Linked DNA regions of Tribolium castaneum. The protein of the gene in region 2 binds, or shares a complex with, the protein of the main gene of each other region. Links are inferred from orthologs where the notes say so. Each region holds a gene or a part of one and is shown on either strand. Other genes may lie near its edges.

The links.
Region 1: SmD1 (region 2) and ncm share a complex: the UniProt entries of both Homo sapiens proteins name them as parts of the minor spliceosome. The link is inferred for Tribolium castaneum from reciprocal best matches to the Homo sapiens genes SNRPD1 and CWC22.
Region 3: SmD1 (region 2) and U4-U6-60K share a complex: the UniProt entries of both Homo sapiens proteins name them as parts of the U4/U6-U5 tri-snRNP complex. The link is inferred for Tribolium castaneum from reciprocal best matches to the Homo sapiens genes SNRPD1 and PRPF4.
Region 4: SmD1 (region 2) and 116 kDa U5 small nuclear ribonucleoprotein component share a complex: the UniProt entries of both Homo sapiens proteins name them as parts of the minor spliceosome. The link is inferred for Tribolium castaneum from reciprocal best matches to the Homo sapiens genes SNRPD1 and EFTUD2.
Region 5: SmD1 (region 2) and peptidyl-prolyl cis-trans isomerase H share a complex: the UniProt entries of both Homo sapiens proteins name them as parts of the U4/U6-U5 tri-snRNP complex. The link is inferred for Tribolium castaneum from reciprocal best matches to the Homo sapiens genes SNRPD1 and PPIH.
Region 6: SmD1 (region 2) and Tango4 share a complex: the UniProt entries of both Homo sapiens proteins name them as parts of the minor spliceosome. The link is inferred for Tribolium castaneum from reciprocal best matches to the Homo sapiens genes SNRPD1 and PLRG1.
Region 7: SmD1 (region 2) and Brr2 share a complex: the UniProt entries of both Homo sapiens proteins name them as parts of the U4/U6-U5 tri-snRNP complex. The link is inferred for Tribolium castaneum from reciprocal best matches to the Homo sapiens genes SNRPD1 and SNRNP200.

Annotation. Positions count from the first base shown.
Region 1 is NC_087398.1:673,465-678,316, forward strand, and holds ncm (pre-mRNA-splicing factor CWC22 homolog), read right to left. Parts: upstream 3,273-4,852; 5' UTR 3,144-3,272; coding exon 1,979-3,143; intron 1,801-1,978; coding exon 1,131-1,800; intron 1,073-1,130; coding exon 637-1,072; 3' UTR 591-636; downstream 1-590. UniProt on the Homo sapiens protein: Required for pre-mRNA splicing as component of the spliceosome. As a component of the minor spliceosome, involved in the splicing of U12-type introns in pre-mRNAs. Promotes exon-junction complex (EJC) assembly.
Region 2 is NC_087394.1:7,019,860-7,023,187, forward strand, and holds SmD1 (probable small nuclear ribonucleoprotein Sm D1), read right to left. Parts: upstream 1,729-3,328; 5' UTR 1,588-1,728; coding exon 1,574-1,587; intron 1,471-1,573; coding exon 1,119-1,470; 3' UTR 998-1,118; downstream 1-997. UniProt on the Homo sapiens protein: Plays a role in pre-mRNA splicing as a core component of the spliceosomal U1, U2, U4 and U5 small nuclear ribonucleoproteins (snRNPs), the building blocks of the spliceosome.
Region 3 is NC_087397.1:1,344,590-1,349,475, forward strand, and holds the start of U4-U6-60K (U4/U6 small nuclear ribonucleoprotein Prp4), read left to right. Parts: upstream 1-2,030; 5' UTR 2,031-2,171; intron 2,172-2,231; 5' UTR 2,232-2,235; coding exon 2,236-2,404; intron 2,405-3,545; coding exon 3,546-4,083; intron 4,084-4,130; coding exon 4,131-4,529; intron 4,530-4,575; coding exon 4,576-4,886. Other genes in the region: zinc finger protein 131, read right to left, coding at 851-1,138. UniProt on the Homo sapiens protein: Plays a role in pre-mRNA splicing as component of the U4/U6-U5 tri-snRNP complex that is involved in spliceosome assembly, and as component of the precatalytic spliceosome (spliceosome B complex).
Region 4 is NC_087401.1:10,799,255-10,804,162, forward strand, and holds the start of 116 kDa U5 small nuclear ribonucleoprotein component, read left to right. Parts: upstream 1-1,950; 5' UTR 1,951-2,297; coding exon 2,298-2,414; intron 2,415-2,461; coding exon 2,462-2,682; intron 2,683-2,732; coding exon 2,733-3,001; intron 3,002-4,908. UniProt on the Homo sapiens protein: Required for pre-mRNA splicing as component of the spliceosome, including pre-catalytic, catalytic and post-catalytic spliceosomal complexes. Component of the U5 snRNP and the U4/U6-U5 tri-snRNP complex, a building block of the spliceosome.
Region 5 is NC_087395.1:17,966,434-17,969,822, reverse strand, and holds peptidyl-prolyl cis-trans isomerase H, read left to right. Parts: upstream 1-1,965; 5' UTR 1,966-2,044; coding exon 2,045-2,128; intron 2,129-2,174; coding exon 2,175-2,351; intron 2,352-2,396; coding exon 2,397-2,690; 3' UTR 2,691-2,735; downstream 2,736-3,389. Other genes in the region: peptidoglycan-recognition protein 2, read left to right, coding at 1,180-1,237, 1,287-1,506, 1,552-1,670, 1,721-1,911; G-patch domain and KOW motifs-containing protein, read left to right, coding at 2,806-2,939, 2,991-3,181, 3,232-3,389. UniProt on the Homo sapiens protein: PPIase that catalyzes the cis-trans isomerization of proline imidic peptide bonds in oligopeptides and may therefore assist protein folding. Participates in pre-mRNA splicing.
Region 6 is NC_087397.1:4,268,748-4,273,072, reverse strand, and holds Tango4 (pleiotropic regulator 1), read left to right. Parts: upstream 1-1,851; 5' UTR 1,852-1,964; intron 1,965-2,015; 5' UTR 2,016-2,047; coding exon 2,048-2,163; intron 2,164-2,215; coding exon 2,216-2,573; intron 2,574-2,620; coding exon 2,621-3,120; intron 3,121-3,167; coding exon 3,168-3,369; intron 3,370-3,420; coding exon 3,421-3,612; 3' UTR 3,613-3,671; downstream 3,672-4,325. Other genes in the region: uncharacterized protein LOC656577, read left to right, coding at 537-1,469; Tbcb (tubulin-folding cofactor B), read right to left, coding at 3,903-4,020, 4,068-4,284. UniProt on the Homo sapiens protein: Involved in pre-mRNA splicing as component of the spliceosome. Component of the PRP19-CDC5L complex that forms an integral part of the spliceosome and is required for activating pre-mRNA splicing.
Region 7 is NC_087397.1:20,448,025-20,452,875, reverse strand, and holds the start of Brr2 (U5 small nuclear ribonucleoprotein 200 kDa helicase), read right to left. Parts: upstream 3,052-4,851; 5' UTR 2,835-3,051; coding exon 2,790-2,834; intron 2,610-2,789; coding exon 2,446-2,609; intron 2,388-2,445; coding exon 2,113-2,387; intron 1-2,112. UniProt on the Homo sapiens protein: Catalyzes the ATP-dependent unwinding of U4/U6 RNA duplices, an essential step in the assembly of a catalytically active spliceosome. Plays a role in pre-mRNA splicing as a core component of precatalytic, catalytic and postcatalytic spliceosomal complexes.

The DNA.
Region 1 (4,852 bases), on a different chromosome or scaffold from region 2:
AAGGCTCCGGGGTTCAAGGGCGTCGTTGTCCGAAATCAGCTGACTTTTCAGGGGCCCCGCGAACGCCTCAATCAACAGGTCCAGGACCCCGTTACAATCCGACACGAAACATTGAGATTTACTTTAATGCGAATGACGCATTTGACATAATAAAAAAAACATCGTCTCCACTCATCTAACCTACCGACTTGGCTCTAGCTACTTACTTTGGTTAAATAGCTCACGTTGCACTAATACGATTACTGTTTTTCTTCCTCATAAAAATACCTTTGATCGGATTTATTGTTTTTAACACGATAGCACCAATTTACTACACAATGAACAAAAATTAGTGACACACAAAATGACAGCTCGGACCCGACGAAACTGCTTGCCAACCTCGCCAACAAAAACCACCAAGCCTTGTTCACCCAAATTTTCAGTTAAAACTAACCCAAAATTAAAATTTTCACCCAAATTTGTCTCATTTTAGCAAAAGCACAAACACGCAATTTAATTAACACCCACATTTCGTCAAAAAAAATGCCAAAAGTGTGGGTTTGACTAAGCGCCAAATTCAAATCTGGTAACTTTAAGGAATCAAACACAAGTCACAAATAAAAATATTTATTCAATACAATTTATGTACAAAGTAACTTATCTCCTACTCTTATGCTTCCTCTCGGGGCTCCTACGCCGCCTCCGATCGTCTCGATCGCGTGACCGTCTCTCATTATGTCTGTGTTTCCTCGCATCTGTTTTTCGTTTTTTATCATCGTCTGATGCTTCTTTTGTCGGTTTTTTCCTCTTCTTTTCTTCCTTCTTCTTACGTGGTTTCTCATCTTCGGAACTTGACGAATCCGAATCACTACTATCGGAACTGGATGAGCTTGAACTGCTAGTGCTACTGCTGCTAGAATCACTTGATTTTTCAGTAATCGTCAAGGGATTGACTTTAGGGGCTGTTTTCAAATGTTCCCTCAACTCGGCCGTAAGCCCCCCTAAGCCAATCGACGTGAAAAAATTAATCGCAAATCTTGTATTTTTGGGATCATCGCGCGGAAACAGCCCCTCAAAATGTGGCTGAAGCGTTCTGAAAAAAATCCAAAAAATTAACAAAACCTCGTTAATTATCAAACACAGTCACTTACGCATCTTTAAGCCTGGCATTTAACTTCTCCAAGCCCATATATTCGGCCAATTCCTGGAACAAAATCTTGATGAAAATCCGATTGGAACTATTGGTATCCTCTTCGTTCAGTTTCATAATTTCTAAAACCTCCCATCCAATCGCATCGGTGAACAACAAATGTGCGAAAAACTTGCTAACATTTCGCAATTTATTTGTGTCAAGTCTGTGTGTTGTGGCGTACGTGTCTTTGAAGATTTGTTGGAATGGCTCGACATAAATCTGATTCACTTGACAAAATCTCTGTGCCAATAATCCGTAAAACTTCTCGTAAGTCCGTTGTTCGGCACAACAGTCGAGGAACATGTGGCATAATTCGATTTCTTGGCCCGGTTTCAGTTCCATTTTCATTAGTTTGTGGGCACTTTCCTCAAAATCTAAACTTGATTGGATGGTTAAGTAGATTGTTCTGCGTAGGGCCACGAGGTTGGTCTCCGTATTGTCGATTATGTTGGATTCGTTCTTTTGGGCGCCTTCTTCTTCCTCTTCGTCCTCGTCTTCGTCGTCTTCCTCGTCACCGGACTCTTCCTCCGAGCCGGAGCCCGACTCGCTGTCCATGTCCAGGATTTCCTTGCTCAAAGTCTTGTACTTCCCCTCGTTTTCCTCGTAGTTGTCGTCGAATTTAAACACATCTAGACAGGATAATCACAGAGTGAACGAGGCAAATTAAGGAATTAATTAATTAAAATTTCAAAATAATTTTTTCTGAGAAATAAAAAAATAATAATAAAAAATCTCAAAACCTGGATACCCCGATTTTTTTGTATAAAAAATTAAGTACAGTTCCACCTAATTAAAAAGTTTCCTTACTTAAAATATCCTCAGCATTTGATTGCTTAACATCATCCAGCGTAATCAAATGTGTAAACTGGTGCTCCTCATCCACCAAATCCAACTCTTCAATAACAGCGGCATGATCCTTAAACCCGTCCTTCCTGATTTGGAACATAACTTCAATCATGTACTGAATCCTCGGTTCCAACTTCCCCTCATGTAAAATATTCCTCAACATTTCAAAGATGGCATTAATGCCTTTACTCGAAACCTCAGTCAATTTCTGTCCACATTCCTTCAGAAACGAAATCGCAACTTCAACCGAATCATCAGTTGGCGTCTCCACCAAAAGAGTCAAAATCTCCAAGGCGAGAATTTCATGCGCAACCCTCTGATTAACCAAATGAGCCACAAAAGTCGTGGCCGAAATGCAGATAATTTTATTATTCTGCTTGAAACCGCGCTTGAATTGCAAAACCAAACGTTTCAGTAACAATTCTCCAATATTAGGGAATTTCGAATTGATGACAGCGACCAGGGCTGCGTACACGTTTGTGAAAGTTGGGGACGCAGCTTGCGCTTGTATTATGGACTTGCAGAGCAGTCCGCGCCCCCTTACCACATTCTCATGGAGCAATTCCCGCGAAATAATCCCAATGTTGGACGTATTCACCTTGTTAATAAACCCATGAATGGATTTTTTTAACGCCTCCCACGCAATTCTTTGATACGCCGCCGAGCTCTTATCAGTAATCTCCGCTTGCATCATCCGCAGCTTCGCTGGAGGGATGTAAGCCCCACCTGTCCGTGTCAGTAAATCCACGGTTTTGCGCTCACGGGGGGCTATCACCGACTTATCCGTCTCCTTCTCAGACTCTTTGTCTTTATCGTCGGGCTCGCCCCCGTAATACCTACTACCCACCTGATGGTCATCCTTGCGGGGGTATTTGGTCCAATATCTATCGCTGTTTTTCTTGTGTTCTTGATCCTCGCCGTAATACCGAGGGTATTCTTCAAGGGGGCGGTCCAAGTCGTGGTATTTGCGACTTTTGCGACGGTCTCGTGAACGCGAACGGCGGGAACGCTTCCGGGAGTCTTTATGGGGCGAGTCGTCACGACGTTTTTTACGGGATTCAGGGGATTTGGAGCGGCTTTTACGCTTGGGTTTGGGCTGTGGGGAGGTTTCGGTGTCGGTGGTCATTTTTTAAGCACTCACAAAAACACAGTAAGAAATTGGGGCGATTATTGACAACACACAACAACGCAAGAGGTTGAGGTTATGTGGCACTGGTGATAATGACAAATTCCCTACTATTTTTGAATTTTAAAGTCGCCAGATTTTTTTGTGCATTTAGAATAAATTATAATTAATTATATGTACGTGTTTACGCAATTATAACATAACTAGAGGGCCAGGAATTGGTGGTTTTATTAATTCCAGACATATTTGAAAATTTACAGACTTACTAAATTAGTGACAAATCTAAAATTTCAAAAAAATTTGAATGTGATTTTGGGGGTCACGTTTGCCTAAAAAATATATCACGACCTGGGAATTTTGGGATTTTAATGATCTTTAAATGTTAAATAAAAGAAAACTAGATGATGTAACGTTTAGCTATTGATAGAAAACAAAAAGTACCTACATGGAAGTAATTTTGGCAAAATTTGTTACTTTGGAACCTTAAATATTGATTTAAAAGTTCAAAACAATAAAATTTTAAGTAGAGCATGTCTGAAAAGTTTGCTATTTTTTTCTTGTATTGTGTATTGTTTGTTTGTAGATTAACATATAATACGTGTTATATTTTATGATAACATTTCAGGCAATTGAGAAGACAAGATATGATATTGTAAAATTGTGAAATAGTCAGAACCTTATGGTTCTCAGGTCGCGATATTTTCAGAATATTTACTTCGACAGCGACTTTTAATGTGTTCCCATAAAATGAATAACTTGACACAGACTTTCGCTTTTTCTTGAAGAGAAATGGCTGTTGGTGCAAAAACAAGCAAAAACCGATAATAGTGGCTAATAACAGCTCTAGCGTACAATTAAATTTTTATGGCACAATAACAAGTTCGATCAAAGATTTCTCAACAATACTTCCGCGGTGAAAAGAGCGTTTTTACGGCATACTGAAAGTGTTACAAGGTATTTTATTCAGTTTGTGGATTTTAAAAAATCGGCGCGGAGAACGATAAGGTCACGCATTTTAATTTTGCGGAATTTCGCGGAGGCCTCCCATGAATATGTGAAATGTTTGCGTGTACCATATTTTATTAAACAGTTTGAACAATAAACAGTGCGAATGCAGCGTTTTCGAGGCATCAAGGTCACTGCCAAGTGAACTTAAACCCAGCTCCAGCTGTTTCAAAGATCGACCAACGAAACCAATCCGTACAAAAGAGCCCGAGGCTGCTTTATGGAGAGTACCCATGCTATAGCAATTCAGTTGGTTCTCAACCTTTCGGTGCCGATACCGTGCGCGTTCTCCTCTCCCATTTTTCCAAAATTTTGCCCAATTTTTGGTACTTTTTCTAAGTAAAAAAGCGTGCCGGGTTGGTGTAGGTGCTAAAGGTGCTGGGCCCAAGGTTGCGACTTTTGTTAATCATCTTGCTTGGAATAATTACAAGTGGAACTTGCAGTCATGGTAAATAATTATTTCGCACAAATCGCTCTTTTTTTAGAAATTAATTGACCACTCGCTTGAGTAGTTAGGGGAAAGAATTTTAATTATAGTTTTGGGTGCAGTTCCGATAAAAAGGTCACAAAAGGGTTATCGTAAAATGCGCAACAAGACCGAAAATAAGGCCTCCAAAAGTCGTCTCGTTGCTCTAATCGCAATAATGAGTAAACCTTTTAGTGGTCAACTTATCGACCCAAATAAGTCATTAAAAAACCACTTA
Region 2 (3,328 bases):
TGGTATTTATTTTTTAAATAATAGCACTTAATAAAATAAAAATAAAATTTGTAATTTTCAGTTACAGTTACACGTCAGAACAACTGAAGTTAATTCCATTGGTTGCATTTTGTTATTTTTGTCGGAAATATAAAACAAAGTTGGTATTTGTAAAGTTTCAGGGCCGTATTAAAGTTCGAGCAAAAAGGAGCAATTTGTACAGTAATTTTGTAGTTATTTATCTCATTATCTATTATTAGTTTTTATGAAGAAAACTCTGCATCGAAGACTTTTGACCTGTAAATTGGTAGGTACCAAGAAATTAATGAACCCAAATTTATTCATTACCAAAAATCGAGCACATAAATACCAAAAAAGCTTTAATTTAGACATCACTGTTATGCAGGCTTGTAATGTTGGTTGCATACTCGATGGCAAGCAATTTCTATATTTATTTTGATTTTGAGAAAATATTTCTTATCTCAAATCTGAATGAGTGATAATGTTTTAGCTTTAACTTTTTGTATTGAAAGTAAGAGAATGTTCCTAAATTTGTAAAATAATTATTAATATAAAAAAAATTGAGGTTAAATAAAGTGATAGTCCATCTGTTTCTGTATTGATAGTCAGTGTTTAAGACCACCCGAAAAATGGGGCTATCTTTAGGAGAATGTTCCGTCATGAAGGAGGTAATCAGTAAAACGTTAATTTTACCAAACTCATTTAACCATTTGTAGATAACAAAAACAGAAGAAGCAATCAAAGCCTGTTACGTGAGGGTCCAACTTTTAGAAAAAAAGATCGAATCTGATGAAATCCCCAACGAGAAAAAAGCCGACATGAAGAAAGAGTTACGAGAAGTTCGCAAACTTTTAACCACAAACGAAAACCAACTTTCACAACTCCACAGACACAATCGAAAATCATTCGCATTTGTAGCCGCCTTCTGTTTTGTTTGTTTCACAGTTTACGTTTTATACATTTTAGTACAAGGTCCCGATTTTTAATAACAAAGACATTTTAAACCTAAATATGTTTTATTGATGAATTTAGCAGAATTATAAAAGTTTTACAAATACTGGAACTAAACGAAAAGATTCACACTTACAATTACGAAACTTAATTTAATGAACGTATTCTTATCTACGCCCTCTCCCTCTGCCCCTGCCTCGGGGGCCCCCTCTGCCACGGCCCCTCCCGCGGCCTCTGGCAGCCCCCCGGGCGCTCTCCTTCTTCTTGGCCTTGGCTTTGGGGGTGTCGTCAATCAGCAGAGTCTCGAGGGGTAAACTATCGGGCAAAATGTAGTAACGAATGTTGTTTCCTCTAACTGTTAGGGTGTCTAAGTTCACAGGATTTCGGTTCTTTACAGTCACTTTTACAGCTTTTAAGTGCGTATTCATGGCCACATCTACACCGGTTATAGTGCCATGGACTTGTGTGCCGTTTTTCAGCTCCATTGTGACCGTTTCATGGCTCAGTTTCATTAAAAACCTGAAAATGGCCGAAATGTTAGGTTAGGTGGTTTTTCAGGAGTTTTACTTGGAATTCAAGGAAATAAAAACGTGTCTGATCAATCAGTAGTTTACGTTCTCACCTTACTAATTTCATGTTGATATTTTTGGTGTAATTAAGACAATTTTTATATTATGCCGGCAAAACACGCTTGGCTTACGTTTTTTTACCCCCCCTCTTCCATAGAGGGAAAGAGAATGAGCATATAAGAAAGAGATGGCAAGAAAACTTGCGAAGGGAGCGCCACTTACGTGGCGCCAATTTTAAATCGTTATTTTTTTTATAGGTTTGCAGATAATTATGGACTCTGAAAATAAAAACAATTCTTTATTATTTACTATTATCACAGCTATTATCAAAATAACCTTGCTATTGGCACGTAGTAACAATGAAATATTTTGCTTTATACAGTCGAACTTCGATCACCCGAATAGGCCGTTGCCACTTCAAATCATCTTTGTAGAATACAGTGGAATAATACTTTTGTTGAGTTCAAGTGATTCCTGTTATTATAATATGAGCAATTTTTTTAACTAATCCAACAAAGTGTTTACCTTAAAAATCTCAACTCTCTCTAGTGCATCTAGTGTTCTTGTTCTTAATTTTTATTAGTTGCGTGTTTTTAGTTAATTAATTAATTAAACAAAAATTCGTGTTATAAAAATTTTTCGAATTCAAAATTTGAAATTGAACAAAATAATTGGTGGAGTCGGTTTATCCCCGTTCGGGTGACAGGGGTTCCACTGTATGAATACATTTTGCGGAGAAAAATTTAAGATTAGGTCGATTATATAAATTATATGTTAATAAGAAGTTAGAAAATACTTATCTGAAAAGTTAAAAAAAGTAATTTTTGACTTGTTTTCGCCTAAATTATAACTATAACATGAGAAAGATACGTTTTTAGTTTGACAGTTTTTGAGTGAGGCTTCAAAATTGCTGAAATTATGTGGACACGATTATAATGGGCAAAATTAGATTATAGGATAAGAGGGTTAACCTACAGAAATTTGGGCATAATTATTCACTGTACATAATAACCCCACTCTCCCCTACCTAAAGTATTTGAAAAACACTTGTTACTGATTAATTTATGTTATTTATTACAATATTAGAATAGATAACACAAAACTAGTAATAATCATTTTCGCAAGATCTCGGGTCCGGTCGCAACTCTGACCTCTGTCGAAAGAACTGAAAAATTCCGGTTAGTTTTAAGTTATCAAATGACTACGTTGCAAGTACAAGTTTATTAGTACAATTTTATTAAAATGTTACTTAAATAAAACCATTTTTACCCAAAAAATTTACAAAAAGTCATTTTTGGATACAAATTTTCTAGTTTTACTTTTTTGAATTATGTTAAAAGACTAGGTGGTTATTTACCAGTGAACGATCGATTATGAAATTTAAATAAAAAAAAGGATAAAATTGGATTATGAAATTAATAATAAATTAGTGTGACTCAATAATTATTAATTTTTTGTGGCAACAAGCAGTGAAAACAGTGAAAACACTTGGCTAAACTAATTAGTTACAAACTAGATTAAAAAAAGTAAGTTGTAATATTTACAAGTTTATTTTTTAATTCGTAGGTATATTAAAACTGTCCGTTCCTGCTCTGATGAGGTCATTGTAGAAGAAATAAATTTTTTTTTAAATTATTCTTCGAAACAAGAAATATTTTTAAAAAAGGTATACTTGTACAGACTGTTCAAAAATGGTTGTTCAAGTCGACTAAGGAATTTAAATTCATTGAATCACTTCGTTTAAATAACTTATAATCTCTGCATTTTGCATTTTTCGGTAAGAGACCGGAAGAAGAGATAATAAAATA
Region 3 (4,886 bases), on a different chromosome or scaffold from region 2:
ATCATCGATGAAAGAGAGAGAAATTGAACCTTTCCAGCCAAGTTTTACATTTTTATTAACAAGCTTTTGGAAAAGTTGAGCGTCTAAATAATGTTATGTACAAAATCTATGAGATTTTGGGAATTTGTCTATGTATTTACAAAATACGTAGGTACTTGAACCCAAAATTGGTTCTAATTTTTAGGAAAGTTGAACCTGTCGCTGCTTGGCCGCTTTTAGCATCTACGTGAACTTTAGATTCTGTTTCAAATTGTAAAGTTATTGGGAATTCACGATTTTGTTACGTTTTTCATACGAGAACACCTTCAATATCATTTTTTAGAAAATTTAAAAAGACGACAGGGAATATGAAGGGTTTTTGATGACCAATTTTTGGGAAGAGATGTTTTACTAAAAATTGTGACTGAAAGAAAAGCATTTTTAGCATTGAAGTATGTTTTAAGTTATGTATTTAATATTAAAATAAATATTGAAAAATTTCAGAAATGTGAACGTTAATATTGGTAGGTAATATCTACGTTTCCTACGTCCCTGGTTAAATTTGACGTAAAATTATGTCATTTTATGCATTTGACAAAAATTATAACCTTGAAATTATTTTCGACATAAACCTTTGACATAAGTTACTAACAAAAATTTTAATAAAAAAGGATAGAAATATATACCCTATCCACATAATACAAAATTGGCTCGGTTTGACGTTCAGTGTCCCAACTCTCCCAATAAAGGAACTCTAGGGTTTTATTGACGTTGCGAGGAGAATCGATTGTTGGCAGTTTGCGGGCCAAGTGGAGTTTCTCATGGGGTCATGAAAAATTGAAGGGTTTTGCTTTTTTTAAAGGGGGCTTACGTGGTCGACGTTGATCTCTCCTTTGTACATGAACTCGACCAAGCACTTAATATCTACATATTTGACATCTTTCATGATGAGGATGGGGTCTTTTTCTTCGTACTGGGACAGGATGGTTTCGAAGTAGGTGCTGCAGGCGGAGAGGACGATCTTGTGGGCCTTGATGGTGCGCCCCTCGCAGGCCAAGGTGACGTCGCAGAAGGCCTCCTTCTCGAGGAGCTGCGAGAACATGGTCTGCAAGTTCGAATGGTGGTACCTCCATCTTAGACAATACTGTTGAGGCAGCATTTTTGGTTATGTTCGTCCAGCTTCCTTCCGACTGTTCGCGTTGGAGATGACGAATTTACCAAAAAGTAATGAGTCACCAGCGTGAGACCTTCGAAATAATCAATACTCGTCGGTTTTGGGGCCTTTGGGCGAGCGTTTGTTTTTTAAATCACCACCACTTCACTGGCACGGCACAACGCATCCGCAAGTCGACTGTTTTTGCGAGGTTTAACAATACAAAGTCCGGCCGAGGATTTCTCAAAAATTTGGAGACGCGTATGTAAATGTTCAGTCATTTGGAAAATTCCGACAAAAAATGTGTCCCTTAGTTTTTTATGAGTCAGTGAGCCAATAGAAACCACGTAAGACCCCTATAAACCATGTATAGTCCGTATATTCGCCGGGCCAAGCCTTTAAGGCAAATCAATACCGCACGTCTTAAAAAATTCTCGCGTAAAAAATCTTGGGAATTGTCGAGGTTTTTCGTCACACACAAATATTTGTCGAGAGCAACGGCTTTTCAGCCTAACTAACGGCACCAAACTCGACTAACGCAGATCCAAAACGGGGTCAAAAATTAAACCGACACAGACTCGGACTGTACTGTAATTAGGCCTTTCATATTTATTTTTATAAACTTGAGATTTTTCAGAGCCTGGGAAAGAAAGAGAAAATCTATCAACTGTTCAAGTTCAACGATCGGTCGTCGCGCCGATTTCGCACAAATTCACCGATTCTTTCACGATTTTCGCACACAAAACACCAGCACGGACATTGCACGGCTATTTAGGCGGTTTCCGCGGCACAACATCGTACATTTACTAAGATTTCCGGACCGAACTTGATAATCTCTCTCTCTCATGGAATTTTTTGGAAAAAAATTTAGACAGAGATAGCAAAACGCTATGTAAAGAAAACAGAAATATTTCTTTTGTGGAAGAAATCGTAAAAACTTGCCGTTGGCTACACTGAACTCACCAGGCGGTTTTGGTTACTTTTTTTGCGACAAATGTCAACTTGACGTTACGTTTTGAACCGATAGCAGTGATAACATGTAAACAAACGTTTTTTACGAATTAACTTGCACAAATACTCATTTTTGCTCAATTTTTAGCACCATGTCCGACGATGAGGACGCGCCTTACGTGAAAAAAACCAAAAATATTCACTACGGCTCGTTGGAGGAAGCGGAAAGAGCTAGGTTAGCAGCCGGCGATGGGAACGATGATAGCAATGAAAAGGCCGAAAGCACGTCGGCGAACCCGCCACAGGTTCACATTTCCACAGGTATTACTTTGGCATCCGTAATTTCGTCCAAATGCCAAAACCTCGCACACAAATGAGCTAAAGCTCAAGTCAACATCAGTTTAATGTAGCGCTAAAATATTCACGAAAAATCTAGTACAAGTGGTACATTATATATTTCTTATTCCTTAATGGAGCCTCGTGGCTCAAAACCCAGGTTCTGTTTTTTGTAATTTCTGTAAAACCAAATTTTGAGTCATGGAATCAAAGTTTTTTATTAGAATACTTAAAATCTTATTATTTATTTATTTATACAGGGTGAGTCAGTCATGAGTTAGTTCTGAAATCTGATGCAACCAGTAAAACTAATTCCACCTGTCCAGTTGTATTCCATTTTTTGAGTATATTGTTAACTTTATCTTAACAGTTTTGCCACTGATTTTGCTAAAACTCCTTTATGAACTACTATTTTTTCAAAAATAAAAAACCGAGTAATTTACCCTGGTATCTTTATTACATGAGAGTATTAAGAGTAAAATTTATCGTTGTAACTGATCGTTTAAATGAATTTCATCGTAATTTATCTCAAAAAAAGCTGGTAAGCAGAAGGTTAAAGTCTCAACATTGTAGCCAATATTTTCTCCAAATTCTTGTGATAAATTTTTTGCCAGTCGACATTTAGTGACATTTGAAGCGCTCAAGAGTGGCTTATTAACGGCCCAGTCAATAACTAGGTTCACATATTGACTCGAGTTGCTTTGTCATGCGAAATAATATGATTACAGATTTTTAAAAAAATATAAAACCTGAGTGATTCAGGAAAAAATCAGGTTTAATACAGCGATTAACTTGCACTTTGGCTTTGAAACTGACAGCCGCGGTGTTATTAAATCAAATGCTTTATTGCGCTATTAAATAAATAATTCGTATTAGAACTCCTTTAATGCCATAAATGCACAATAATATTAAATTGAAAAAAGTTGTGCCATAGGCCCCAGCTTTATATAATTTTTGCTTTTTAAAAAGAACAGTTTGTAGGTGTACCTACGAATGGTAAATAAAAAAAATGTTTATATAACAGCAATTATCACACAATTATTAAAAATGCGTGCTTAGGTGCCTGTTTTTATGTTAAAATCTTTCACTTGAATCTAATAAATACTGTTACGTTTAATTTATTCAGAATACATGGAGCTTGAGGACGCCATGTCCCGCGACAAGCAAGCCCTCTTGGAGGAATTCGAGCGTCGTCGTAAAGCGCGCTCTATTAACGTCTCCACCGATGACGCCGAAGTGAAACGAAACCTTCGCCAATTGGGAGAACCGATCTGTCTATTCGGGGAAGGACCGGCAGATCGGCGTTCACGCCTCCGTGAAATACTAAGTCGTATCGGTGAAGACGCAGTCATTCGACGCGAAGCCGAAGAAGAACGTAAAAATTTCGAAAAAGATCTCGAAACAACGTGGTATCATGAAGGCCCCGAAAGTTTGCGAATAGCCAGATTATGGATAGCGCACTATTCACTGCCGCGGGCCAAAGCCCGGCTTGAGGAAGCCAGAAAAGCGAAGGATTTATCAACGGCTACTAGAACAGCCAAGAAGCAGGAAATACAGAAAAAACTCCAGATTATGTCGATTTATTCGAGTCAGATTGGCGATTCGAGACCTATTGCCTATTGCCAGTTTAGTCCAGATTCGAAACTTTTAGCCACAGCTGGATGGTAATTATCATTTAATAAGTGAAATGAAATTATTTGTTTGATTCAAGGAGCGGGTTGTGTAAAGTGTGGTCAGTGCCCGACTGCACACTCAAACAGACCCTGAAAGGTCACGCCTGTAATGCCAGTGCTATTATTTTCCACCCTAGAGCAACAATCAGCCAGGAGGAAAATATTTGCAATATGGCATCGTGTGCAGCCGATGGTTCAGTAAAATTGTGGGATTTTCAAAGCGAGGAACCGATCGCTGATATCGAGGGCCATATGCCACATCGTGTCTCCCGGTTGGGCTTTCATCCCTCTGGAAGGTTTCTCGGGACTTGTTGCTTTGACTGTTCCTGGAGATTGTGGGATTTGCAGCAATGCACCGAAGTTTTACACCAGGAAGGACACGTCAAACCTGTCTATTGTATTTCCTTCCAGATTGATGGATCGGTCTGTGCCACAGGGTAAATACTTTTGGTAAATTGTGACAAATAATTAATTTCCCAACAGTGGTTTAGACTCATTTGGACGTGTGTGGGACTTGAGGACCGGAAGATGCATCATGTTCATGGAGAGTCACTTAAAGGCGGTTCTAGGGATAGATTTTTCCCCTGATGGCTACCACATTGCCACGTCTAGCGAAGACAACACTTGCAAAATTTGGGATTTGCGCAAACGTTCCGTCTTGTACACAATCCCAGCTCATACGAATTTAATTTCGGAGGTGAAGTTTCAAAGGGACGGCGGCGATTACCTAATTACTTCATCGTACGATAACACGGCGAAATTGTGGACAAATCGGACCTGGCAACCGTTGAAGA
Region 4 (4,908 bases), on a different chromosome or scaffold from region 2:
GATATGTTAAAATTTAGGGGTATCATTCTTTTTGATCGTGACTGTACATACCTATAAGTAGTTATATCCAAGTTGTATTTACAACTTGTGTTGTAATAGTCGTCTGTGAATTTCTTACCTATGCAAAATCAGAAAGTGCCGCTTTATAGAACTGACAGTTTTGACATTTATTGACAGAGTATTCAATTGAGCAAAGCGGCACAAATTTTTCTTACATGTAAACTAATTTCAAAGCTAACTAGATGACAATCATTTAAAAACACATTGTACTTGAGCCATCAGATACGAAACTATTTTTCAAAATTTTGTCAAAAATACCTTGACAGTTCACCAAAATAACGAAAAATGATGCTATATTAGCTTTTTCGAACCTAAAACTCAGTTTTTTCGAGAGATTTTGTTGAAATCAATTAACCAAGAAATCATTAAATTAAGACAAAAAATGAGTGATTTTCAATATGTAAACAGATTTGCGAAAATGAATAGGTAATCGGAATTATTAATCCCTTTTTTGTTTATTAATTGTTTTTAATGAAGTAATTATTTTTTAATTAACTTCTTTTGAGGTAAATAATAGGGATGGGTATGGGAAAGAAAAAGTTCAATTATTTTTACTTAAATTTATTCACGAGCCGCCGCTGTCTCGCACACTCAAACCCGTCTTCTTATCTCACTTCACCCTCTAATCTCCGCTCTAATCTCCGACACGATTAAAAAAAGATGACCTAAACGCCACCAACACTTCATCTCACTCTCCCAGCCTCGGCACCCAATTAAAACAAGTGGGGGGAGTGGGAGTGCCCCCAATAAAACAATCAAATCAACAAATAACAATCGACTTTATCTCCTGCCAACTTGATTACATTGTGACATTTCGTAATGATTGCAACTCGCGTCCACGACCTACTTGACCGTCGAACAAAACAAAACACCATCACATCGTCTGCTTAAAATATTCTACATAAATATTAAACAGTTTAGTTCCACATTGTGCTATATATAGACCTCGAAATCGTCACAAACGTCACACGAGTGCGAGAGAGACGCCAACTGTGACGTGGCATCACGGCCAACTTCAATGATTCACACATAATCACATAAACTCGATTTTAGCCGGGAATTGTCGAAAGTGCTTGTGCGGCGTTGCCACATCGCACAAAACTGGGAAAAAAACGCCACAATCGGGCACAACCACCACAATTTGCGACCCGATCAAGGCGGCCGCGACTAACAAACGACAGTCAATTAACAACAATATTAAACAATTAAAACGCCTCCTAAAAACAGAAATTTTACCACAAATAAAACGTCCTTTTTGTGCCAAAGCCGCCTCTGATGTTAATTTCCCGACACGGCCCTTAATTTGCCCTTAAAAAAATAGGTTAGTTTGTTTAAAAGTCACCGACCTGCCTATTTCAGGCGCGGCCAATCGGAGCCAAGCCGGGCCGAACGGTGTGACACCGGCCACGCCCCCACGCTAAGCGCGACCAATCACGCCGTGGTAACTCTCAAACGGGGGGAACCCCGACCAATGGTGACAAAAGGGGCGTCAGTAACGGTTTAGGAGGTTTTGTTGCTTTTTCCATACCTCCTCAGTCCTCATACTATTATTATTACAACCTTGAATTTGATAGTGTTGTTATGGTAACAATAAGACGGTAGTTGGCCTCGGGTGAACTTGACCCCGCCATTGCCGGTAAATGGAAAAACTAGTGACAATTACGTCACGTCTAAGCAGGCCATGGACCCCGACAAGGTGAACAAAAGACAAACGATTGGCCATAAAACGAACAATAACGAACGTCTTGTTCTGTAAACTGAAGCAAAGCGGCTTATAAATAGATAAGAGGCCCCCTTGCTCCATTTGTCTATTTTTAGGCCCAAAATCAATATTTGCCGATTGGGCGCCATCTAGCGGAACGGTTGACCAACTTGGTAATAATTCCTGTCAATTAATTGATGTGATACTGTTATCAATTAAACCAAACGTCGCGACTAACAATTTGGTTGTGATTGTTTCAATTAATTAATAAAATTGGCTTGAATTATGTAGTGAGTCCAGGGAGTTTATTTTTTGTGGCCGCATGGTTGGTAACTCCCGGCAACAACAACCTAACCTGTGACTCGTTTGTTAACGTTTTGCAACGTTTTTTCACAAAAATCGTGCAAAAAGTGGCAAATTTGTCCCAAAAACCACTCGAATCATCGTTTTTTGTGCTCCGGTCGTGTGGATTTTACCGTTTTTGCTGTTTTTTGGGGTTATGTCGAGTCGTGTTTAGGGCCCCAAAAGCCAGAACATGGACGCGGATTTGTACGACGAGTTCGGTAATTACATCGGGCCTGAGCTGGACAGCGATGACGACGAGGACGAGGAGCCCGAGCCCCAGGAAGACGAGGAGCAGCAAGACTACGATGTGAGTGTCTCGAGGTCCCCAGAAGCCCCCTTATTGTCCCCTTTCAGGACGAGCAAATGGACGAGAGTGAGCCCCAACCCATGGCCATTGTCTTGCACGAGGACAAGCAATACTACCCGTCTGCTTTACAAGTCTATGGGCCTGATGTGGAGACTATTGTGCAAGAGGAGGACGCGCAGCCCCTTGACGTGCCTTTGATCGAACCGGTGAAGAAAAAGAAGTTTCAGTTGAAGGAGCAGGATTTGCCCGATACGACGTACAATATGGAGTAATTATTTGGGTGAAAGTAGGGGTAAAAATAATTTCACTTTTTGGTAGGTTTTTGGCCGATATGATGGACAATACGTCGCTGATACGTAACGTGGCCTTGATTGGGCACTTACATCATGGTAAAACCACGTTTGTTGATTGTTTGATTCGGCAAACGCATCCAGGGTATCAGGACTATGAAGAGAAAAATTTGAGATATACCGACACTTTGTTCACGGAGCAGGAAAGGGGCTGCTCGATCAAGTCGATCCCAATTACGCTACTTTTGCAGGACGTTAAGAACAAGAGTTACCTAATGAACATTTTTGACACTCCTGGTAATAACTCAATAATTAATCCTCCTTTAGACGCGATGTTTCGGCAAAAATTCGTCGACAAATCACCAGATTACGTAAAAAGTGTGGCGATTTTTGCATTTCTCAAACGCACACTTCTGAAGTGACGACCAGCAAATCATGAAAAGTGGTTGAAAATAATGCTGTTTTGCCTTTTTTGTAACATTTTAGATTATTTTTTCAGACAGAAAAACAACTATATTTTGATTTCATATTTTTTTGAGTAAAAATTTAGTGTTTCTCCGAGATTTCGATTCGAGTAGTTTGAGAAATCACTAAATAAAGTCAAAAAGATGTAACTTTTGCCTGATTCGAGAATTTTAGGGCATTTTTTAAAGCTAGAAACGCTATTTATTTCATAAGGTTTTCTCAAAAATTACAAAAAAATACGTAAAATACAGCAGTTTTTTGGGGTTTAAGCGCGTTTTTGTGCTAAAAACTCAATCTTCTTACGAGATTTCCCTAGAACTAGAATAGAAAATGACTAAATTGGGTCGAAAAATACACAATTTTTGGTATTTTTGCGAGTATTAGGACGATTTTAATCCAACGAGATTATTTCACTAAGTTGTTAAATAAGTAAAACATTTTTTGCTAAAACTGTGTTGAAAAATCAAATTTTTTTTTGCAGCACGTTTCTCAAAGGTATTTCGTTAAAAAAGAAGTAGCAAATGAAATAAAAAAATTAACTTTTTGAGCGTTTAAGTGCATTTTGACAAAACTTTACTATTTTACACTGTAAAGACTTTCTTTTTATTGCCGGTTTTTATGTAAATTATAGATGTGTTCTTATTAGTATTTACATTTTTCTAAGATTTTATGAAAAACACACAACAAAAATATTTACGCTTCTTTTAGATTGTTTTAGCAACGAGTAAACTAGTTTTCAACCAGCAAAGCAATTGTCTCCTAAATTTATAGCGCAATAAACCCAAAAATTGGGCCGAAAATAAAATTGTTTTGGCAAGTTTTTCAGCCAGAAATAATACGTTGTTCAAAATTTAGAAGTAATAGAGTTTTTTTTTACCTTTTAAAAAAGTGTGTGCGCGTTTTTGGCCCAAAAATGTAATAATTTCTCAAAAAAATCAGTCAGGTGGGGTCAGTATATAGATAAGCACATTTACAAATTTAAAAAGTTTTTCTTGACCACTTACGTGTGTTTGGGTTAGAACACCTTTTGTTAAAACCAGATCAAAATTTTCATCATCAAGGTGTTAATTTGCTAAATCCCACCAAGAAAACACAAAATAAGTTAAAATAATAGCTTATATTTTGCATTTTTTGAGCGTGTAACTTTAAATAAACAAATCACTAAACTTGACCTATTGAAAATTAATAATTTCTGTTCAAAATTTCGTGAAATCAGGTCGAATATAACATTAGTTTTACTGTCTTCTGGTGCTTTAGCATCTTTTATTGTTCAAAATGTTATTATTGTGTGAAATATCTCAAAAATAAACATGAAAAATAATTAATTTGTATCAAAAATCAAGGTATTTTTTGCGTATTTCTAGCTTTTTAATCCAGAAACGCAATTATTTAGCCAAGTTTGATTCGAAAATCACTAAGACTGTGTTGAAAAATTTTTTGCGTTTTCGGAAGTTATAGCACGTTTCTCAACATTATTTCAGGAAAATTTGTCAAAAAAATTGTGTGATTGATTGTTTGAGTACTTATATAAAAACAATTCTTTTATAATAATGATAAAACACTAAATTAGATCCATACAAATTATTTATGCTTTTTTGAGGTATTAAAATGGTTGTTTTTTTAACCAACAGGGTAATTAGTTCTTACATTTTTAGAGCAGTAACCAGTAAACCAAAAAACACGAAATAATTAGTGTGAAAATAGCATTGCTTTTTGGCGTTTTCAGGCGCTTTATCAAT
Region 5 (3,389 bases), on a different chromosome or scaffold from region 2:
ATGGGTTGCACTTTCTCGTTTGCCTTATATGTGTGTGGATTTAATTTGTCGGCGACGCAATGGTTTCATAACGAGGTCGAGGCGGGTTTTATTGGAAAATTTGAGACGACACAGGATAACGCATTGAATGAGACAGGAAACGCTAGAAATAGTCCTCCGCATCCGACTGAAAGAGTTTTATAAAAAGACCCATTCATTATGCGGAAAGATGAAGCTAGAAAACAGTTTTATAATTCGAATTGCCAGCTGCCGGCCAAATAAATTTAGACTGAATTAATGGGGTTACGTCAGTTTAATTGACACCTGTCAGGCGAATTGTTTACAAAATTGCAACAAGTCAACATTTTTGCAACCGCTGATCGCTGACCTCCCACTTAATTATTGCACCAATTTCCAAATATTGGTGTTATCAAGATTAATATTCAATTTAATTTCAATCGCTACTGATAACACGCCTGTTAATAATGTGTTAACTTGGGACAAATTTAGGTTATGAGGCAGGTGGTTAGGATAAGCGAAGCGTTTGTGTCCTTACCTAGGTCATCCATGGTAATAAGCTGCCGTTCTAATACTAATTTTAAGCAAAACTTCTCAACTACATCACGAATTATCGGCACTTTTTAGGAAAATGACCTTATTTAGGCATTTTCGCAGAATCACAAATGTCAAGATATGAAATTCCAGACGGTCAGTGTAGGCAACCTTGAAAGAAGTAAACAACGGACGGGCAGCGCCTCTCAACAAGTTTTGCAAAATTTTAAAAACCAAAATTTTTTTCCCGCACAAACCTTGCGAATTAACTGACTGAGTTGCCCCCCGTATCTAAGTGACTTGATAACTGCGTAACGAAAATTACGTTAAGTTATGATTTAATAAAACATGATAAGAACTGATAGTGATAAGGACGTCTAAGAAGACTGCAAAATCCAGCACAAAAATAAAATTAAATTCGTTGCTCTTGTTTTTATTTAACTTTAGTCACCGTTGGTGAAGTCCCTGATCGGGAATCCCCACAACCCAGAGATAAAAACCATAACAAGAAGATAAAGTCATAGACCCCACAGGTCACCGTATATAAATGCAGAAGTTTATCATCTCGAAGGTTACTCGTGTTGTTCCATTAAAGGACGTGCTAATTAAATAAATAATTTTAATTTTGCATACAAGGCAAAGTTGAATATGGGACGAAAGTTCGTGATTATTTTCTCAATTTTGCACCAAATTCTGGCTCGAACAGGTAAAACCACCGCTCAAACCCCATCCATTGCTAAATGAGGTGTTTCCAGAGTCAAACTTGCCGGCAGTGTGCCCCGAAATCGTGAGTCGCACTAGATGGGGGGCTCGCACTGCTTTGGAAGTGGATTACGCCCTAATCCCTGTCGAAAACGTGGTCGTGCACCACACGGTGACCAACACTTGCAGCACTGAGGAAGAATGTGCGGCGATTTTGCGAAACATTCAGAATTTTCACATGGAAAATCTAGATTTTCACGATATTGGATACAAGTAAATTTGATGATTTTTGTTTTTTTTTTTTTAATTATGGTTTAGTTTTTTAGTGGGTGGTGACGGCCAGATTTACGAGGGCGCAGGTTGGCACAAAGTGGGGGCGCACACACGTGGGTACAACTCCCGGTCTTTGGGGCTCGGTTTCATCGGCAATTACACGAGTAGGTTGTTTTTCGTGTTATTTTCGTACTTTACGAGCCTTTTATTACAGCTCAACTTCCAAATAAAAAGCAGATACAAGCCGCTAAAGATTTTCTCCAATGCGGGGTTGAGTTGGGAGAGTTGGGCAAAAGTTTCAAACTGTTTGGGGCCCGCCAAGTCAGCGCGACGGAAAGTCCGGGCCTAAAGCTGTACCGCGAACTACAGAACTGGCCGCACTTTACCAGGTCCCCGCCGAAATAAACTGTATTCTAGTTTTTAAAATAAAATTATTATAAAGCATACGATTTTGAATTTAAATATGGCGCCCATTAGTCGCAAGTTTGAGGTTATGTTGTTTTGATTATTCGAGGTTAGGGAACTAAAAACCGTAAAAATGCCGAATTGGGACCAAATTCAAGCCCAGTTGAAGCACCCAGCGAACCCGGTCGTGTTTTTCGACATTTCCGTCGGAACTACGGTACCAATAACCCAAAATTTCCGAAAACTGTATTTTTCGATTACAGGAAATCGGCCGAATGATTTTCGAGTTATTCGCAGACGCGGTCCCCAAAACCAGCGATAATTTCCGCCAGTTTTGCACCGGCGAGTTCCGCAAAGACGGCGTGCCGTTGGGCTACAAGGGGGCTAGTTTCCACCGAGTTATCAAGGACTTTATGATCCAAGGGGGCGACTTCGTCAATGTAAAAATCACGGGATGCGATTCCGCAACTAATTAATATTTTTAGGGCGATGGGACCGGCGTTATGAGTATATATGGGGGCGGAACGTTTCCCGACGAAAATTTTAACCTAAGACATGACGGTCCTGGACTTCTATCAATGGCAAACAGCGGCAAAGACACCAACGGTTGCCAGTTTTTCATAACTTGTGCAAAGTGTAATTTCCTGGACGGCAAACATGTGGTGTTTGGACGCGTTATTGACGGACTTCTCGTCATGCGGAAAATCGAAAACGTGCCCACGGGGCCCAACAATAAGCCCAAAATCCCGGTCACAATTGTACAATGTGGCCAAATGTAGTAGTGTAATTCAAATTTTAATAATAAAAGCACAAAATAAAACTTAGTTTAAATTTTTATTTTGTCAGGTTGGTGGTCCCATAACCTCACTTGTCAAAAACGTAAATAATCGTGAAATGGAAAATAAAAAAATATCGTTCGGTTTCAGCAAAATTAGTAAAAAGACCGAAATCAGGTCAAGTGTTCCGAAACCCGAAAATAAGATACAGCTAATTGACTGTTTAGAGGGTCAATCAATTAAAATAAAAGGGTATGTTTCGTTTTTGAGGTTATGTTATTTTTGCCAAAAACCTCATTTTAGTGCCGTTGAGGAGACAAATGAGCCGTTGGTGATACCAATCCAAGGCCCATCAAACAAATTAATAGACCAAATAAAAAAAGCGAGGGAAAAACACGTCAAACCTGAAGTTAAAGAAGAGACAGGGGAGGCAAATTCTGTGCCAGACTCTGCCCTATCTCTTGACGAATTAGCGGCAAGAGAGTTAATCCGAGGTACTTACCCTATGTTTCAAGTGATTTTCTAGTGTGAATAAAATTTTCAGAGGCACAGACTCGCAACACTGTACAAAGCGAGACAAAAGTCTACTCCTTGCCTTTAAATGACGACAAGTTTGTGGCAGAGGGGGCACAGGAGTCGTCTCTCGACGACTACGAAAGTGTACCAATTACAGATTTTGGTATGGCGATGTTACGTGGCATG
Region 6 (4,325 bases), on a different chromosome or scaffold from region 2:
AAATGACAAATTAGGAGCTGTCACAACACCTTTCAACGGGTTAATTAACAAATTTACGGAAATTATAAAATAAAACGCTGAAAACAGCGTTTTCGTCAACAACACAAATTCAAAGAAACTTCGTTAACTGGGAACGTTCGCGGTTATTAGGTTGCTGGCATTGGGCAACTGGTTACTCGATGTGCGGCGCCGGGTTTAAAACATTCCTCAATTTATTGATTTAACAATTTATGCAAGCTTTACGAGGACCATTTTAATTAAATTAATGTTTTACACCAGTTTCTGAATAAAATAAGTTGGTGTCTTGTTGTAAAACTCTTAATTAATTTATTATTAATACCTAACAGATGTCACTGGGTCACGTAACGTCAAAAAAGTGACAGTTGTTGGTAAATAAAATGTTGCAAATAAGTGTATTTTTCTTTTGATCTGTTATGTTTGGACAACTCAGCACCCGTAAGTAACTGGGGGAAGTACACAAATGTAGTTCTTACGTAACAGTTCTTAGAAACACGTCAAGACCCCAGTTGTAAAAAATGACAAAAATCAGTGAAATCAGCCGAAATTCGTCTGCAAGCCTTTCCGACGATGACGAGGAGACAAGAGTGCGCAAATTTGCAAAACACATGCTCAAGAGCTCCCTATTTATCGGTACGTTTCTGGAAAAAAGGCTGGTTGAACCTTTGAACTCGTACCGCGATGTAATTAAAATATGCGACGATGAACACGACCTTATTGCGAATTTAAAAGCAGTGAGGAAGCGCTGCTTGAAGCATTTTACCAAAAATGTGTGGATTGGTATCACGGAGCCGAAAACAATCGGGGCCCCGGCAGGTTACAATTTGTGGGTGAGTCTGGACGAAGAGGTTTTTGGGAGTTTTTGGTACAAAATCAAAAACGTTGAATTCTTCCACAATGAAGTTAGAGTCAAGCTTGAAGTTGTGAGGCCAGTCAGAGAGAAGACTCCAGTTCATAATATAACTCCCACTCAGATTTTTGAAGACGTTTCTCAGAAGAATTTGGGTGAATTGGGTGCAAAATTTCAGGAGTTTTTCAAGGATCAGTTGAGGAACTTGTTTACTGAAACCTTGACTTGGCCCAACATTAAACAAGCCACCATATTTATGGTTCTTTTGTTATCAACACTGATCACTTTCTTGATACACACCATCAAGTACCTTCTAGACTATCTCCTGAAACTTTTGCGTGAAACGCAAGGACTTATCAGGGTTTGCACCCCAATTATTGTCAACTTTATGACTTTAATTTCGAATACCATTTGTGGATTTTATTCTTTATTGGCGGTTTTGTGGCGAAATCGGTCACCACCAATCAATCAATTACACATATCTCCGTATGATGTACCATATTATAGAAGTAATATGAGGGCATTACCTTACCAGGCAGGAGACTTTCAAAGGTATCGCAAATCTCGCGGATCTTCAGTCAAGATCACTCCGTTGGATTAAGTTTCTTTGCATTATATAATTCTGTTTGCATTTTTAATCACATCGCTGCAAAGTGGGGCACTAGGCAAAGCTACTTTATTGTAGTCGACTCACAATGTAAATAATTTGTGTAATATTGCTTTTATCTGGGCTCAGGAATGTTGACATTGGGACTTGTACAGATAAAAACTAGATGCGTTTTGTGGTCAAAAAACTATGTATTTTATTGTAGACTTAATAACGAAATATTTATAAGTGAAACAACTCGTATCTATTTTTATAATTGTTGAAAAATACAAATGTTAAAAAAATTGGCGTGCTTTTATTTTGTGACCAAAACTACCCAAATAAGAAATTCAATTCAATTTGGTATGGAAATTAACTATTTTTTGGTTAAAAAAAAAAAAAACTCAAACTCCCTCCACGGTTGAGTCAATAGTAGTTTCTTTTCCTGTCTATTCTACGAACCAAAAGTTACCAAATGGTGGATTTGGTGATTTTTTGCAGAGAGGTTAAGTACGATTTTGTTTATTTACCCGAAGATTAATTACTAGTATTACAATTCAGTAAATATCCGGAGTTAAATACTCGTCTTCACAATGACCGAAGACGTGCAGAGACACTCCGTACATACGTTAGTATTCCGTTCCTTGAAACGGTCTCACGACATGTTTCTCTCAAACCAGGGACTACTGCCATCAGTGGACGAAAAAGCGTGAGTAACAAACCACAAAAACAAGCAGCCCTTAATATTACGAATTAAATAGCGAAATGGTGCGAAAAGCCATAAAAGCCCGTGACTTGTACGGCCTAGTCTTTGACGACGTTAAGAAAATGCAAGCTATGAAGCACTTACGGGAGGCAGAAGCTGGGCCAAACCCCCCACCACCGGGCACACGCACTGACGACGCGGCCCCAAACACCGAGGGGGCTGTTGTACCGTACACTGACACAAGTTTGATGACACGAAGCGTCCAAAATAACACACAAAACCAGCTCGCCAATTTAATGAAAAAAGTCCCCACAATGCCAAAGCCGAAATGGCACGCCCCTTGGAAGCTATACAGGGTGATTGCGGGGCATTTGGGGTGGGTCAGGTGTGTTTCGGTGGAGCCAGGAAATGAGGTATAAAATTTTTGTTGGCAGCAAATTTGTTACCGTTTTTTTGTTAGTGGTTTGCGACCGGCGCAGCGGACCGAATAATAAAAATCTGGGACCTGGCAAGTGGGCAGTTGAAAGTGTCCCTAACTGGGCATGTGAGCACGGTCAGAGGGTTGGCTGTGAGCAGTAGACACCCTTATTTGTTCAGTTGCGGTGAAGACAGACAGGTCAAGTGTTGGGATTTGGAGTACAACAAAGTCATTAGACATTACCATGGCCATTTATCGGCTGTATACTCTCTAGCGCTTCACCCCACAATCGATGTTTTATTAACAGCAGGGCGTGATTCAACAGCCCGGGTTTGGGACATGAGGACGAAAGCAAATGTTCACACTTTGACCGGCCACACGCATACTGTAGCTAGCGTGGTGGCGCAAGCCTCCGAACCTCAAGTTATCACAGGATCTCATGATACCACAATCAGATTATGGGACCTGGCAGCTGGGAAATCAATTTGTACGCTTACCAATCACAAAAAGAGCGTTAGAGATGTGATTCTCCACCCGACTTTGTACGATTGTTTAATTATTTTTTTTGTAATTATTTTATTATTTGTAGGAACATGTTCGCGTCGGGCTCACCCGATAACATAAAACAGTGGAAATGTCCTGACGGGAAATTCATACAGAATTTGTCCGGTCATAATGCTATTGTTAATTGTCTCGCTGTCAATCCAGAAGGCGTCCTGGTTTCAGGGGGCGATAATGGAACTTTACATTTCTGGGATTGGAGGACCGGTTACAATTTCCAAAGATTACAAGTAATTTTTGTAACTTTGAAGGAAGTCAATCGATTAATGTTACATTTTTAGGCCCCAGTACAACCTGGGTCAATGGACAGTGAAGCTGGAATATTCTCAATGATTTTCGACAATTCTGGCTCAAGATTAATCACAACTGAAGCTGACAAGACCATCAAAATCTACAAAGAGGATGAAACTGCGACTGAAGAAACGCATCCGATTAACTGGAAACCCGATATTTTGAAACGGAGGAAATTCTAATTCTATGATTAAAATAATTTGTATTTTTATAAAAATAATAAATAAAATTTTATGAGCTACTAAAAAGTTTTAATTTTACCCAACTTTGCATTATTTATCAAATTTTCCGAAAATTAATCAAACCATTTGACATTTCTAGACCATTAATAATCGCAGAAGTGCACAAAACTTACGATTTTCTAGATGTAAAATCGTGAGGGTAAAGGTTAAAATGCTCTACGATAAATAATTTTTAATTTGATAAAAACAATAAATTAATTCGTTTGCGAATTTGGAATGCTTGTTACCAATCATATTTCCTCGTTCAAGTCGTAATCTTCCTCAGGGAAGTCGCCACATTCAACGTTGTGTGGCTTAACAAAGGCGCCATAATTATTAGCACATTCAAAATATTTCTTGCCTTTAAATCTGCAACAAAAGCTAGAATTTTTTTTCAACTGATGGTCGTAACTTACGTTCCATCGTTTTTGCCCAAAGGTTCGTCATACTTGACCCCTATCCAATATCCAGGTAAGGTCTCAACAGGCCCTGTGTACATCACAGTGCCAAGTCTGCAGGGAGCATTGGCTACAGTAACTTTGCATCTTGAACCAATTGGCGTGCTTTCTGCCAGTTGTTTTTCCTCTGACATTTGCTTTTCTTTCTTTTTTATATTCTCCTCGTTATATTGCCCTGAAAATTTACAATTTATTCTGGAAAATCTTGGGTTTTGG
Region 7 (4,851 bases), on a different chromosome or scaffold from region 2:
TGAATGCCGAATGTCTGGATTTTTTAGAAAATAAGTTAGTCTGTAACTGGCTTTTGTAGAGTAAAGTGAAATTAAAAGGTCCTGTTGAGAAAATCGTCGTTTAATTATCCTATAATCCTGACGTAATAAATTATAAACTATAACACCCTGTTTATTGTTGTAATTTATGATTTTGAAAAACTCTACCAACCTTTAATGTTTCATTCTTTCACACATTTTGTGTTAAGAGTTTATACCGAAAAGACCTCTCTACTTTTTCTATCATTCCGCGAGAACCGAATGACACTAATGATCGTTCTCTGTGCTGATGTCAGGGTGACACAAGATGATAGATAACTTGGATTCAACTTACAAATCATAATTTAAATTGGATCAAAGGCGTAAATGAAATACGTTTTTTTGGGTTGCATCGTCAGATCGTCAGGCTGCATATTTTATCTGAATCACCCTGTATTAAAAGTCGCTGTTCCTACAAGGTGAGCGTGCCACAGGAGCCACCAAGAAGATGTAATTACAAATTTTTTCGGTCAAATTTCGAAAATAGGACGCGTTTACAATAAAAGCGCTATAGCTTTCTATCGTTTATCGAAGGTTTTAGCCTAATAATTCTTCCTTTACGTTCACAGTATTTTTTTTTGGATTGGTTACTGTGGATACTATATAATATACGATATATTTTTTTGACCTAACTTTTTGCTCCAATTGTAAGGCCCCAACAACCTTACCTGACCTGACCTGACCTGACCTGACCGAAAAATGTACAAAAACATCCGAATAACACTAACATAACATCATTTACACGCTTAAAAAAAGTAGAAACAATAATTATTTACCTAACGAGTTTGGAAAGTGCAATTTCCCACATGAGCACTTTGTTTGCGAAGTGCGAATGTGGGAATGGCTTTCCAAACAAGTTAGGTACAATATTTTTTGTAACGAATCTCTGAAAAATTTTTTTTTTATAATTTAGTTTTTTTTGTTAATGGGTTGCAGGTCAAACAATCAAAAAAAAGACATGAGCTGTCAAGTATCATAAAGAAAATAATCGTTTCCGTCTCAACGGTAGCCAATTAAAAATCCCTAGCCATTGTTACAAAGTAAAAAACACCGCAGTGCGGGAAAGTCCATTTTCCACACGCTGGAATTTGGTAAGTTCCTGAATTAGCATTTTGTCATTAGTATTTGAAAAGTAGAAATATGTTCCAAAAGAGAAACAAAAATGCCATATTTGACTAAATTTAGGTATTTTATTAAAAAAACATGTTCACTCATGAAAAAAAAGCACGAAAGATACCAATTTTTAATAAATGCAATGATTTTTTGGCTAATTTTCGACAAAATGAAGCAAATAAAACACATATTTCAAAAAAAAAGTTCAGAAAGCTCGCTCGCAAATCTAAGTTTTACAGCAAAAAAAAAACACACAAATAATAACATTCTCAAACTAGTTAATTTTTCGGTTCAGTTTTAGATTAGAAACAAGCTTACAATCTCAATAACATATTTTTTTATATTACATGATGTTATAGAAAATATTCTCGCAAAATTATTTAAACTAATTATTGTTTCCGACTAAAACTTTTGGACCTACTTTATTAGTAAGCTTCTTGTTATAGTAAAATGTCTGGCTACAAAAAAAATAACTATTTTAAACTCAATTTTGTGATTTCTCAACTTATTTATAACAAATTTCGCGCAATAAATATTGAAAATTACGTAAAAGTGCCACAATTTTTTAGCTCAGAAATATGCTTAATCCCACATGAAAAAAACTAACGCCATCACGTTTGAAAAAAACATCCAGATTACACAGAAATTAACCTCATTTAGTGTCTTCTTGCCCTGTATGTGTAATTCTCAAAAGTTCTAATCTTAAAAATCCGCTTAAACAATCGAAAAGTAGAAAATAATATTTTTAATCCAATTTGGTGGTCGAAAAAGACAATTTTCTTATTTTTTTGTTAAATAAAAGTAAATAACGTGAAAAAAATTATAACTAACGTAAGTAACGCTTTGAGGTAGTAACTAAAAGAATAAAAATAAATGTAAAATTGGAGCTGACAAAAATTTGCGTTTAAATAAAAAACTACCGCAAAAATCTAAATTACAAACCTAACAGCATTTCAGTCTCCTTTTTCTTTTCTTTCTCCTTCAACCTGTCGTTCTTTAATACTGTTAAGACCTCATCTGCTGCACCACAAAGAATATCTCTTGGTTGATCCCCCAATGCTTCTTGCAAAAAACTCAAAAGCACTTCATACGTTTGTCTAGTTTCTTGCGTTTTAGGTCGATATATTATTCCCACCATTTCATCCACACCTTCTGAAAGTAATGTGGCCCCCTTCATTCGGGCGAAATCATATTGGGCTTCGTCACGTTTTTGCCTCCTAAAAAAACAAGTTCAAATAAAATATTAATACAATAATTGTTAGTGCAACAACTTACTTAACTTTCCGTTCTTCTGCTTTGCCGGGTCGAGTCCTCTGTGCCCTGTCACCCATTTTAGTCCCCGATAGTTTTCCAACAAGGGAAACAACTTCACCTGTAGCCTCATCTCGACTTCTTCTCTCAATCAGACGAACATCAGCTTGAAGCACGAGATTTGAGTTCTACAACAAAGTTTCGTGTTGTGATAAACAGAACGTAACCTAAACGTTGACGCGTCGTTGATGAAATCAACTCATTTTGCTCCCGAATAGTAATTCTAACTAATCACAAATTTAAATTAGTGTTGTATAATATGTTTGCTTAATTGTAGAGGTAGTAGCAATGCATTTTTTATTACTTACAGCTTTATATTCGTATTGAAGCTGCCTTGCCGCAGCATCCGCCATGTTGTTAAACTATCCACTTGTGATGCACTTGTGGCTACACTGGCCGCAAGGTCACCAACTGTGCGTGAGCAAAAGTTCTAGTTCACTTTGAAGGTTGCTTGCAGAAAAAAGGTTGTTTGGGTGCATCACGGCCTCCTAGATTGATAAATGATAAAAAAGACTTTCTTACGTCTCTTACACGGCACGTCGCATGTGTCAAATGTCTGTTTTTTAACCAAAGTTCCACAAAATTCTGTATGTCACAGCTCTCTTGTGGCGATTTTAAGAAACATTTACAGGGAACTGCAAAAATGATAAAACAATTTCACATTTTCAAATCAAATTTAACGATTTACACTATTCCAGGGTTTACACTTTCCTGTCATTTTACAAAAATTGGAGAACGTTGTGCTTACACTCGTACCTCTCGGATAAAGTTAGAAACAACATATTTTTGCAATACATTCCTCAATGACTGTAAATTCGGACGTACACCCGAGCTTTAGTTTTCGCAAACTAAAACGGAGAAAATTCGCGACATTTGACTTAGCGAGCTTGGTCCAGCGGTTCTGTAGTCACTATAAAGGTACAGATTAGAGGCATAGATTAAAAGTGGATTAGAGATCATTGCGACGCCATCTGCAATTTCATTCATAAATAGTCGAGTGGCACATCTGCCTTGCCCTTCGACCTTCGTTTAGACTGGGCAAATTAAGATTTGTTGTGAAGCCAACATATGCAAGTGGGGGAAATGATCGATGGTACGCGAATTTGACCCTTAAGTAACCCTTCTCTGATTGGTTTACTCAAAATATTTCCAAGTGTTTCGTTAATATTCGTCAAACTTCGTGCAATCTCGATTGTGATTAAAGGGAAAAATTATGAATTTTGGGCTTAAATTTACCTGTGAATGGGTAAAATTTGGTTCTTGTGTCGAAATATACAGGAGAAAGTATCCACAAGGGCTTATTCATCGATCATGTCATGCGTAAGTTGGAAAATACACGTGTTGATCTAAATATGGAAACATACCAGTGGTGTCGTTACGTATTCTGATTTTCCGCTTTGATACTGAATATTTTTGAATATTATAACTCTGACGGCATGTCATAAGATAGAATTAGAAGTATTTTAGCTAAGGCATTTTTTTAAACTCGAATACATAAATTGTTTCAGTAACTTGTAATGAATGTTTTTTCAGTTGTTTGCCCCTTGAATACAAGCTGCCATTGAACAAGGAGTTAGCTTCCTCTGACCCCTCACTCCCCTCGCCGTGATGTTGGGTTCAAACAAACTGCCAACAAACTCGCTGTATGGCGAGTCTATACGACATATGGTCGAAGGCCTTGCTTTAATCTGTGACAAAGGTAGATATGCCCCGATCTCCACCACGCGCGCATATTGCAGTAACTTTAAATTACAATAACTTGGTAAGTATTACAGATATCAAAATGATTCTTCCACCAAAAACTTATTTCAACTATGGGATCATTTCATCTCGCATATGTGGAGGTCTATCTTTTAAAATAAAAAATTTTTTCGCATCTCGAACATTCCATAACACAATACAAAAAAAATGTAATTTTCTTACTTTGCTTTTTGTAAAATCTAAAGCTTGTCTATATATACGTTAGAATCTACATATATTGGGGAAGCTAGCGCAAAAAAATGAATTTTCTTACTTTATTTAGAAGGAAAATATGACGATGTAAACACAAATTTTGCGCAATTTTAGTTTTTCAAAAATTTTCAGAAAAACGTCTTTTTCATAATGAAGGCAATTCCAAGTCAAAAAGCGACCTACAGATTTAGCAGGAAATTCTTCGTAAGAATCAGTTTTAAGCAATCGTGTGCAATCGAGTCCGGACCAACTTCTTAAATCAGCGACTTTTGAGATGCTTGCTTCCGGACTTGCAATTAATTTTTCTATCACACTCACAAACATTTCGCGGGCAAAAAAATAGTAAGTAAAAAACGTTCGCGCATCTTGAAAATTTCACTACACAAACATGACACGTTACAAGAAAACTAAAATTTT